Linked DNA regions of Mus musculus: region 1 is reported to be linked to region 2. The links are microRNA targets in miRTarBase. Many come from high-throughput screens and were not tested one by one. Region 2 holds a microRNA gene; the other region holds the end of a gene's coding sequence.
What was found. The annotated mature microRNA mmu-miR-149-5p reads UCUGGCUCCGUGUCUUCACUCCC and lies in region 2 at 1,750-1,772, shown strand. An mRNA with a match to its seed (bases 2 to 7 or 8) in the 3' UTR can be bound and repressed. Matches are read on the target gene's strand: a 7mer-m8 pairs with bases 2 to 8, a 7mer-A1 pairs with bases 2 to 7 and ends in A, and an 8mer does both.

Region 1: the mRNA of Nptn is a reported target of mmu-miR-149-5p. The part of its 3' UTR that is shown has no 7-base or 8-base seed match.

The regions. Positions count from the first base shown.
Region 1 is chr9:58,650,558-58,654,557 of GRCm38, forward strand. Nptn (neuroplastin) reads left to right here. Exons shown (of 9, transcript NM_001357751.1): 8 at 701-775; 9 at 1,302-2,322. The coding sequence ends at 761. Rec114 (REC114 meiotic recombination protein) reads right to left here. Exons shown (of 6, transcript NM_028598.1): 6 at 2,299-2,549. The coding sequence ends at 2,385. Among named protein-coding and RNA genes, the nearest start is that of Nptn, 70 kb to the left of the region's middle.
Region 2 is chr1:92,848,632-92,852,920 of GRCm38, forward strand. Mir149 (microRNA 149) reads left to right here and starts at 1,747; the gene lies at 1,747-1,812. The region is part of intron 1 of Gpc1 (glypican 1); the gene reads left to right. It overlaps Gm29480 (predicted gene 29480), which reads right to left and starts at 166. Exons shown (of 4, transcript NR_166170.1): 1 at 70-166.

The DNA.
Region 1 (4,000 bases), not on the chromosome of region 2:
GAATTGTGTTGTGTTTGCAGTTTAGTCAAAAGAAATACTAAAGATTGTATGAGAAGACAATTCCCTTACAATTAAAGTTGCAATGTACACTTTTAAAGCCTGAAATAATTCTGACTTTTGATCTCTAGGCCAGATCTTGTTTTTAGCCTTAGAAGTAAATAGTATGCAAAAGAAATTGAAATTGTATGTATTTGACATGCTTAATCTAATAATATCGGAGTAAGCAGTATAAGTTAGCTTCAAACTGGACTGTAGAATTAAGTGGTCTAGTTCCATTAACAATGCTGATGTCCAAGAGTGGAATGAAGTTGCCAGGGTTCCTAGAGTTGGAGATTATAGGAAGCAAGAGAAGGGGTAGTTGGTAGCTAGTTGGTAGCTGACAAGTTAAAAGCCAGAGGGCTCAGCATGGCTAGTTGCTGGTTACTTTTATCAGTTAAGAAATTAGTGTTCAAAGGAGTAAGTCTCTCTCACTTTTCTAAGTAATTAATAGCTTAGACATCTAAGGTGTGTGTGTTGTTTGCCTTGGGAGTCCGAAGAACCTATTAATTGAAAGCAGGAGGCAGAATATTGTTATACATTCTTAGGAGTAGAGTTTGCTGCTACACCAGGGATGGAAGAAGTGAAGAGTCTGTTTCCATGTGTTACCCTTTTCAAATAATGTGACTAGTTGACCTCACACAGTCCACTTTTTCCTCCAAAGGAAAACCAACTCTACCAACAATCACAAAGATAAAAACTTGCGCCAGAGAAACACAAATTAAGTACTGCTTTTAATGTAAGTATGCCTTCTTTGGAGACTTAAAAGTTCTATTCAAATGAACTGTGCTTCTGCTCACCTTGCTACAAATTCTTCAGTAGTTGGTGTTACATGAAGACTTTATAATTTCAGACTAGCTGATACTAACAAGTTCTTTCTGTTCACTGCAGTGGATGGAAAGGAATGCCTTTCAGCTTTGTTGACCCACATATTTACTATACTAGGTTCATTTCATATTAAATTCCTTGTATTGCAGTCTACTTACATATTTTTTAGAAGGAGTTAAAAAAAATAGTTAACTTCTTAGGCAGATTATACCCAAAAGCCTGTTAGTACTTTGTGTGATCTCTGCTGAAGGCAAGATAGAAATGTGGCCATAAGGGAACAGGGCCAGAATGCTTAGAGGCACATGGAGATCAGAGTTTCATACCACATCCCTGAGCATGCTGTTTGAACCAAAGCTGTGTCTGATGTGGCACTGACATAGTTGTGATGGAGTGACAGTGTATATTCTTTTAATTTCCAGATATCCTTCTCTTTACAGCTCTTTAGGTTCCTGAAAAACGATGGCAACATGACCTGCTAAGTTTTCTGCTTGGACCTCTTTGGTCTCTCTCCCTTTCAAGTGAGCAACACCACAATGACCGTCTAAAGCATGCCTTATTTAGCCTCTCCTATAAGGGTGACCTAGCCAGGTACATTTTAAACAATGCTTCAGTGTAGAAGGTGTAAACTATTTTGGGCTTGATGTGCTGTGAATGTTGCTTTCCCTCCCTTTGTTAAAAATATTTAAATAGAAATGAAAAGGTCCTCTGAGGATCAGATCATGCATGCGCCATTTTTTACTTATGCAGCTGTTAAATTGGCAAAGCTCTAAACGCACTGCTGCCATCTAGTGATCATTTTGTAAAGTACAGCAAAACCTACAGATATATACAGTATATAAATATATATATATATTTATATTTTTGGGGGTGGGAGAAATCCAAAATAAAGTCAACGCTTGTTTCATTTTAAGCTGCTGATACTCATTCCTTATTATTTGTCGTCAGATGAGGAAGCTGCAGTTCTGGTACAAACTGATGAGAGTGTATAGACTTAAGTCTGGCATTCTAAGGGCTTACCGTATAACTTTAGGAACCTGGAACAGTCCACTGAACGGCTAGAATGAATTGCAGTATATATGTATGATTGATTGCTTTTTAAGTGACTATTTTTCCTCTTGTCAAATCATGTAAATTCTGAAATCTTTTGCACTGATGTGTCAAACCTTATTCTTGTATATTCAATCAAGGCAACTTTTATAATTTCCCATTTGTTTTCAATGACCCTGAAATGTTAATAGCATGGTGATATTCTATGCAACTCTAGTTACACCTTTTGGTTTGACACTGTATTTTCACATTGATTTCATGACTGATGATAGATTTTATAACCTGACTGGGTTCTCATGCGGTACTAACTGTAGATGCATGTACTTGTGTTCTGTGTAATTATTGAAGTGCAATGGTGTACAAAAAAAGTGGATTCACCTGTTTTTAACAATAAAACATTGATAAAAGGTGCTTGGAATAATACTCTTTATTCAAATACCTTCAGTTCCTTAGTTGCATACATGTGCAGGGCTTTAGTTTCTCAACCCTGTAATCTTTTTAAGTTCCTTTTCCACCTCTTCCACAAATGCTGGGAAGTTTTGATCCATGAGACATAAGCGTAGAAAAGGTCCCAATTCTTCTGTTCCCCATGAAGAGCCTTCATAGGCGAGGGTCAGCTTCTCTGGCGCCAGGATAGACTGCAGGGGTGCCAAAAGACCAGAGGGGTTGACTGCCTGATCCCAGATAATTTAACACAGAAAACATTGCCTTAAAATTTAGAACAACATAAAATGTTACTGTCTTTAGAAAAATCCTTTTCTATACTTAGGTTTCACGTTTACAATTCTGTGCCTACAATTTCTTTCCTTCCTCTATCCCACTCTTGAGTGCTATATTCTTCCCCTCCTTCCTTCTCCCTTCCTCATTCTGTCACTGCCCTGAACCCCAATTAAAAAAAACCAAAAACACCCAAACCAAAAACACAGGTTAATCTCAAATCCACGGTCCTGTTTCTGCATCCCAAATGTCTGGATTATAGACAGATACTACTCACTGGGCCCAGCTCTACATTTTCTGGACATACATAGAAAGTGAGATAAACTTGGATCTTTAAGGAAACATTGATGTATCTGAAGTTGAGATCTGGATAACAATATTATTGTAATAGCATTCCTCATGTGAAGCTGGATTCTGAATGGAAGAAATGGGTTGACTACCTGGGGGTGTAGCTTAGTGGCAGAATGCTTGCTTAGTGTGACTGAAGTGCAGGGTTTGATCCTTAGCATAACTAAAGAAACAGGGTTAGGGTGGCAGGAGCTGGTCTTTGTAATTGGCCATCTGAAGGACAAAAGTCATTTGTTTTGTTTGATGGTGGTGATCTGAGTAATTTGACAGAGACATGCAAACTTTTCCATAGTCAAGAATATAGGATGTCCTAAAACTCTCATGTTGTTGATTGTAGTCTTGTCATACTCTTAAGGCTGGACTGGATAGCTATGACTCTCTTCTTCAGTCTTCACTTTGCCTTTTCAAAAATGTCATGTTCTACAATAAATCATAGTGTACAGTCCCTTTTTAAGGAGTCAGTCCTTTGATTTTTTTTTTTTTTTGACTTGACAGTGAAATAAAAGTATTATGTATTAGTAGAAATTGGCTTTTCCTTGGAGAGCAACATGAGAGCTCTACTCTGGTGATGCTGGCTGCATGGTAACCTCTGGCCTCCTATCACAGGCTTGAAGGTCAAAGTCTATACTCCACGGTTATGTTGCTAAGCTATAATGTTCCAGAGGTAGGTGGTTTAAAACATTTTTAATATATTTCATCTTAGAATGATTTGATACAGATTTAGCCACATTGAGTTGAGAAGCATCTGTACTTCTGGCTTCTTTCACTTCATGTGGATTATTACTAAGTGTTCCTATAATTCATTCCTCTTTTTGAAATTAAATATTCTATTGTGCAGATGTACTACAATTAATGCATTCTCCTTCAATTGGCCTTGGTTGTTTCGCTTTTTGTTATAAATGTCCAAGTTTGGTTATTTTGAGATGGGATCTCATTATTTAGCCTAGACAGTTTTCTCTGACTTATCACCCGCCTCAGTTCACCTCCTAATTTTCAGGGTTTCAGGCCTGTGTTACAACTGTGC
Region 2 (4,289 bases):
GCACCAGCGCCCCCTCCTCACTGCGGCGCCAGAGCAGGCGCCTGCATCTGCAGCTCCGGCTTATCTTACCGGCTCCAGCTGTACAGAACCATCCCCGTTGCAGAGGAGGCAGCGGTCGGTCGGAGCTGCAGGTGTCGCCCAGGCTTTGTTCGCCCAGGGCCTGGCCTGATGCTGGAGAGGCAGCTGGCAGGAGCCCTTGCCTGCCCGGAGATGACCCCTCCCATCGAGTCCATAGAAGTGCCAGCAGCCGATGCCCCCCAGTTAGGGGGTCCCTGTTCGTGATGGAGGTTCTTCTTGGTGATGTTGCCATTTGGGTGAACCGGAGGCAGGGGCTCGGGAATCATGAAGGCATCCAGGAGGGTGGAAAAGTATTGGGAGTGAGGTGGGGGCGGGGAGGGGATTGTGCTTGATGCTTTTCCAATTTCAGAGATGGAGTTGAAATGTCTTCCTTCGGGTGTGACCCCCGGGGACTAGACAGGTTTGTTGGGGAACAGGAGCAAGCAATGGGAAAATGCCCCTGGAGCCTGGGCAGTGAGTAGTCCCCCAGAAAGCTGGGCCATTTGCTCCAGGCTGTCACGTCCTGGAGACTCTCAGCCTCTGGGGCTGGAAAACCCAGGAGCACAGAGGGCTGGTTTACTTCTAACCTACCAGTCAACAGAAAGGCCTGCTCTAGGAGCCAGCAGCTGGGGAGGGGAGTGTAGCCTGTGCCTCTCCCTTATCTGCGGTGCTGAGAGATTATACTCCGAATGCCCCTACACTCCCCCAAGCCGTGCCAGCTGGAGTGTTTTAGGGGCCGTGAGGGAAGTGGGCTTTCCACTCTGCATCTCCCCCGTGAGCACAGGAAGCTTCTAGAAGAATGGACCAGAGGCGGGGTAGCATGACTCTGCATTATCTTCAGAAGGTGGAGGGTTTCAAGGCATTGGGTCCCTGAAGTGTCAGGGGAGGTCAGGTCAGAGATGTCTGTGGGTAGCATCAGGATGCTGGACTCTGCTAAAGTCCTGGGGTGACTGTGGATGATGACCAAGAGGGATGCTGCCTCTGTGAGGGAGGAGCAGGAGCTGGAGCTGTCAGCAGGTGGCAGGAGGGTGTGACCCTGAAAGGTAGGAAGCCACAAGCTGCTGTCTGCTCTGGAGAATAGTGGGGGGCCGGGGGTGGGGTGCAAGCAGCCAGATTTGGGAGGAGGTAAATGAGCAGTTGCTGCCCATGGGTTTGCTGCAATGGGGTGCCATGCTAAGTGTCACAAGAAGCAGGGGTCTTGGAATTTGAGAGGCTTTGGGGTTGGGGACAAGGCTTAGAAAAGGGACTAAAGTGGGGAAAACCTGCCATTAACAAACAACCCCCTTCCCCAAATAAAACCTGTGAGTGCCAGGGGAGGGTAGTGCCCCCCAAAAACCCAGGAGGGAAAGATCTGGAAAAATGAAACCAACTCTGAGAGAGATGGGCGGGGTCAGTGGGGAACAATACTGCCGCTCCACTCCCACCCACCTTCAGGGCTGGCAAGGAGGAAGCTGCTGGTAGGGTAGAACGGAGAGACGTTCCTACGATGGGTATGTACTCCAGTGCTTTCCTGGAAGTGTAGAGAGCTTTGCAGAGCCTGCCTTAGCTGTTCTGATGTTGAGCACCTATGGTTCCAGTTGGGCTGGGTCTCAGCTCCTCTATCTTTGACCCTCAGCAAGCAGGTCTGCCAATGCATGGGCTTCTGGGCAGCCTGACCCAGCCTGCCCGGGGCCCTCAGGCCAGTGCCCAGGCTCTGGCTCCGTGTCTTCACTCCCGTGTTTGTCCGAGGAGGGAGGGAGGGACGGGGGCGGTGCTGGGGCAACTGGAACAGCGCAGGTCACCGGGCTGGCTGGGTGAGGTGGCCAGGCAGAGCCAGGGGGCTGCAGGGGAGGCCATTGGATGGGGTATGCTCATAGTAGCTGGCCAAAAGTCTCATGGGTCCCATTTATCCAGAACCTGCCGTGGAGTGGGGCGAGTTTCTGTTTCTGAGTGTGTGTCCTTAATTAACTTCTTCCTGTTTCAGCTTCGTTCTTCTGTCTATGTGGTGAGGGGTGGCAATTGGGACCACTAAGATGGAGAAGGATGTCAGAGGAGCAGAAACCATGGGAGGGGCCAGTAAGGCTGTGCCCACCTCTCTCTTGCCAGTGCTCTGTTGTGCAGCCTGGTCCTCAATATTTCCACCTAAAACCTTTGGCCTACACACACAGAGTGCCTCTGTCCCAGCTGAGCCCAGGATGGCCCCATCCTGATACCTGCAGCCTCCATCCCCATAGCTGTTTCCCCACTCACTGCTGAAGTCAGAGATGGGTCATCCTCTACAGTGCCCCCCATGATTCCTCCTCTAACAGAAAAACCCTTAAACCCCACCACTCAAAGAGAGAGATGTGGCATATCACCTCAGCCCAGCAGACCATGGCCCGGAGCAGAGCAAATAGAAGGCCCTGCTGGGCCCTGTACCTTGTTGTGCCTGTAGCCTGCTTGCGGGTGGATAATCTCTGCTTAGCCCTCCCTACTCTAGAAGGAAGGGAATCAATCAATGGATGCAGATCAAGTGGCAGGACCTAGGCTTGCAGCTCCCAGCTGTCTGGGCACCAACCCAGCCCTTTCTTGAGGTTGGGTGCTTAATAACATGTTGCTTCCCAGGACCTGCAGTCCCTGTGAAAGGCAGGTGCCCTGGGCAGGAGGAAGCAGTGTGGTAGGAGCAGAGGGTACCAGGTAGGGGAGTGGTGGGAGGGGCATTCCGTGTGCACCTCCCATCTCTGACTCCCTTTTCTCTTGACTCCCCCAAGCACCCTTGAATCAGAATACAATTCCTTCTGTTCTTCTACCAGCTGTCAGCCACTGCCCTGCTCTGTGGACCTTTGGGGACCCTGAAACCAGGTGGGACTCAGCCTGTGAGGCCAAAAGTCCCCAGGGTTCTGGGATGAAGCACAGCTCCCATGCCTTAGTAAGCAGGAGAAGGGCTAGGCCAGGCCCTCAACCTGAGACCTGGAAGAGCAGATCTGAAGGTTGCCCTACCTAGGGATGGAGGGGTGGCATCTGGGGATATATACCTTCCATGTCAGGTCAAAATCACAGAGGCTGTACACAGTTCCACTCTGCAATATGCACACACACACACACACACACACACACACACACACACACACCATCCAGCACACATAAATGCTTGTGCTTACTAAGTGCTAAAGACAAGGATGTGATCATGTAACAAGCTCTTAAGGGTGAATGCAACCTCAGAATCTCTCCTTAGTCAGAGATCTCCACTCCCAGTTGGCTTCAGGGGAGGGGGGTTCATAGAAATGGGGCCTAACACATAATGGCCTCATCCTGAGGTCACAGGTTCCTGCCCCCACATGCTTCTTGACAAGATGTCCACTCCCCTCTGGCTCAGTCCCCCACCTCTGATGGCAGCCTGCAGTATCACATCCTGGAGTTCTTCACATCCCACCTTTCCCATCAACCCGTCAGCAAGGATAAAGCCCAGGTACCAGCCCTGGCACCTACTCTGGGCTCTGGAAACTCTGCATTTCACTGGCTCCCCATAACATCAAAATCAGCATTCCTGCACGAGGGAAGCTTCTAGAATCCCTGCTGACCGCTCCCTCTTCTCAGACCTTTCACCTAAGGCTGGGCCACTGCCTCTGCCTTTTTGATCCACCCAGTCCCTTGTAGGGACTGTAGGGCTCTGTCTTTAGGCTCAGAGACAGCAGTGTGACCCTATGAGAAGGGAGTAGAACAGAGTGGGGTCAGGCATAGGCCCAGTCCTGAGTAGCTCAGCCCCCAACTGGGACAAAAGCCAGTCTCCAAGCCTCAGATTCCCTGTAAATTGGTGTCACTATAGCCTTAGCAGAAGGTTTCCTCTCCCATTGAGGTTTTCTTCTGATGCCAGGAGACTCTCAGGTGTGTGCTGTAAGGGCTCCATGGTAGACACTTTGAGGCCAATTGTAGGCCCAAAGCAACCCTCTGTCAGCAAGTGGCAGTTGATATTGTCCTGAATGGTACTGCTGCAGTGCCACCAAGGGCTGACAGGTCAGCTCACCAGCCCAGGATAGATGGCGGGGGAGGGAGTTTCAGCCAGAACACTATGGGGACTGGGAATGTGTCCAGCTAGTGGGAACCTCAGGCCAGGGTTGAGTGGCCTCTGTTTGGGACCCAGTGCCTGCGCAGAGCATGCTTTTCTTCACCCCAGAATGGTACCCAGGGCCCTTGCAGAATGCTGACACAGGCCCTGCAGAACATTCATGGGGCACTCCACTCTGCTGTCAGTCAGGTGGCCTCTGAGACTGGCC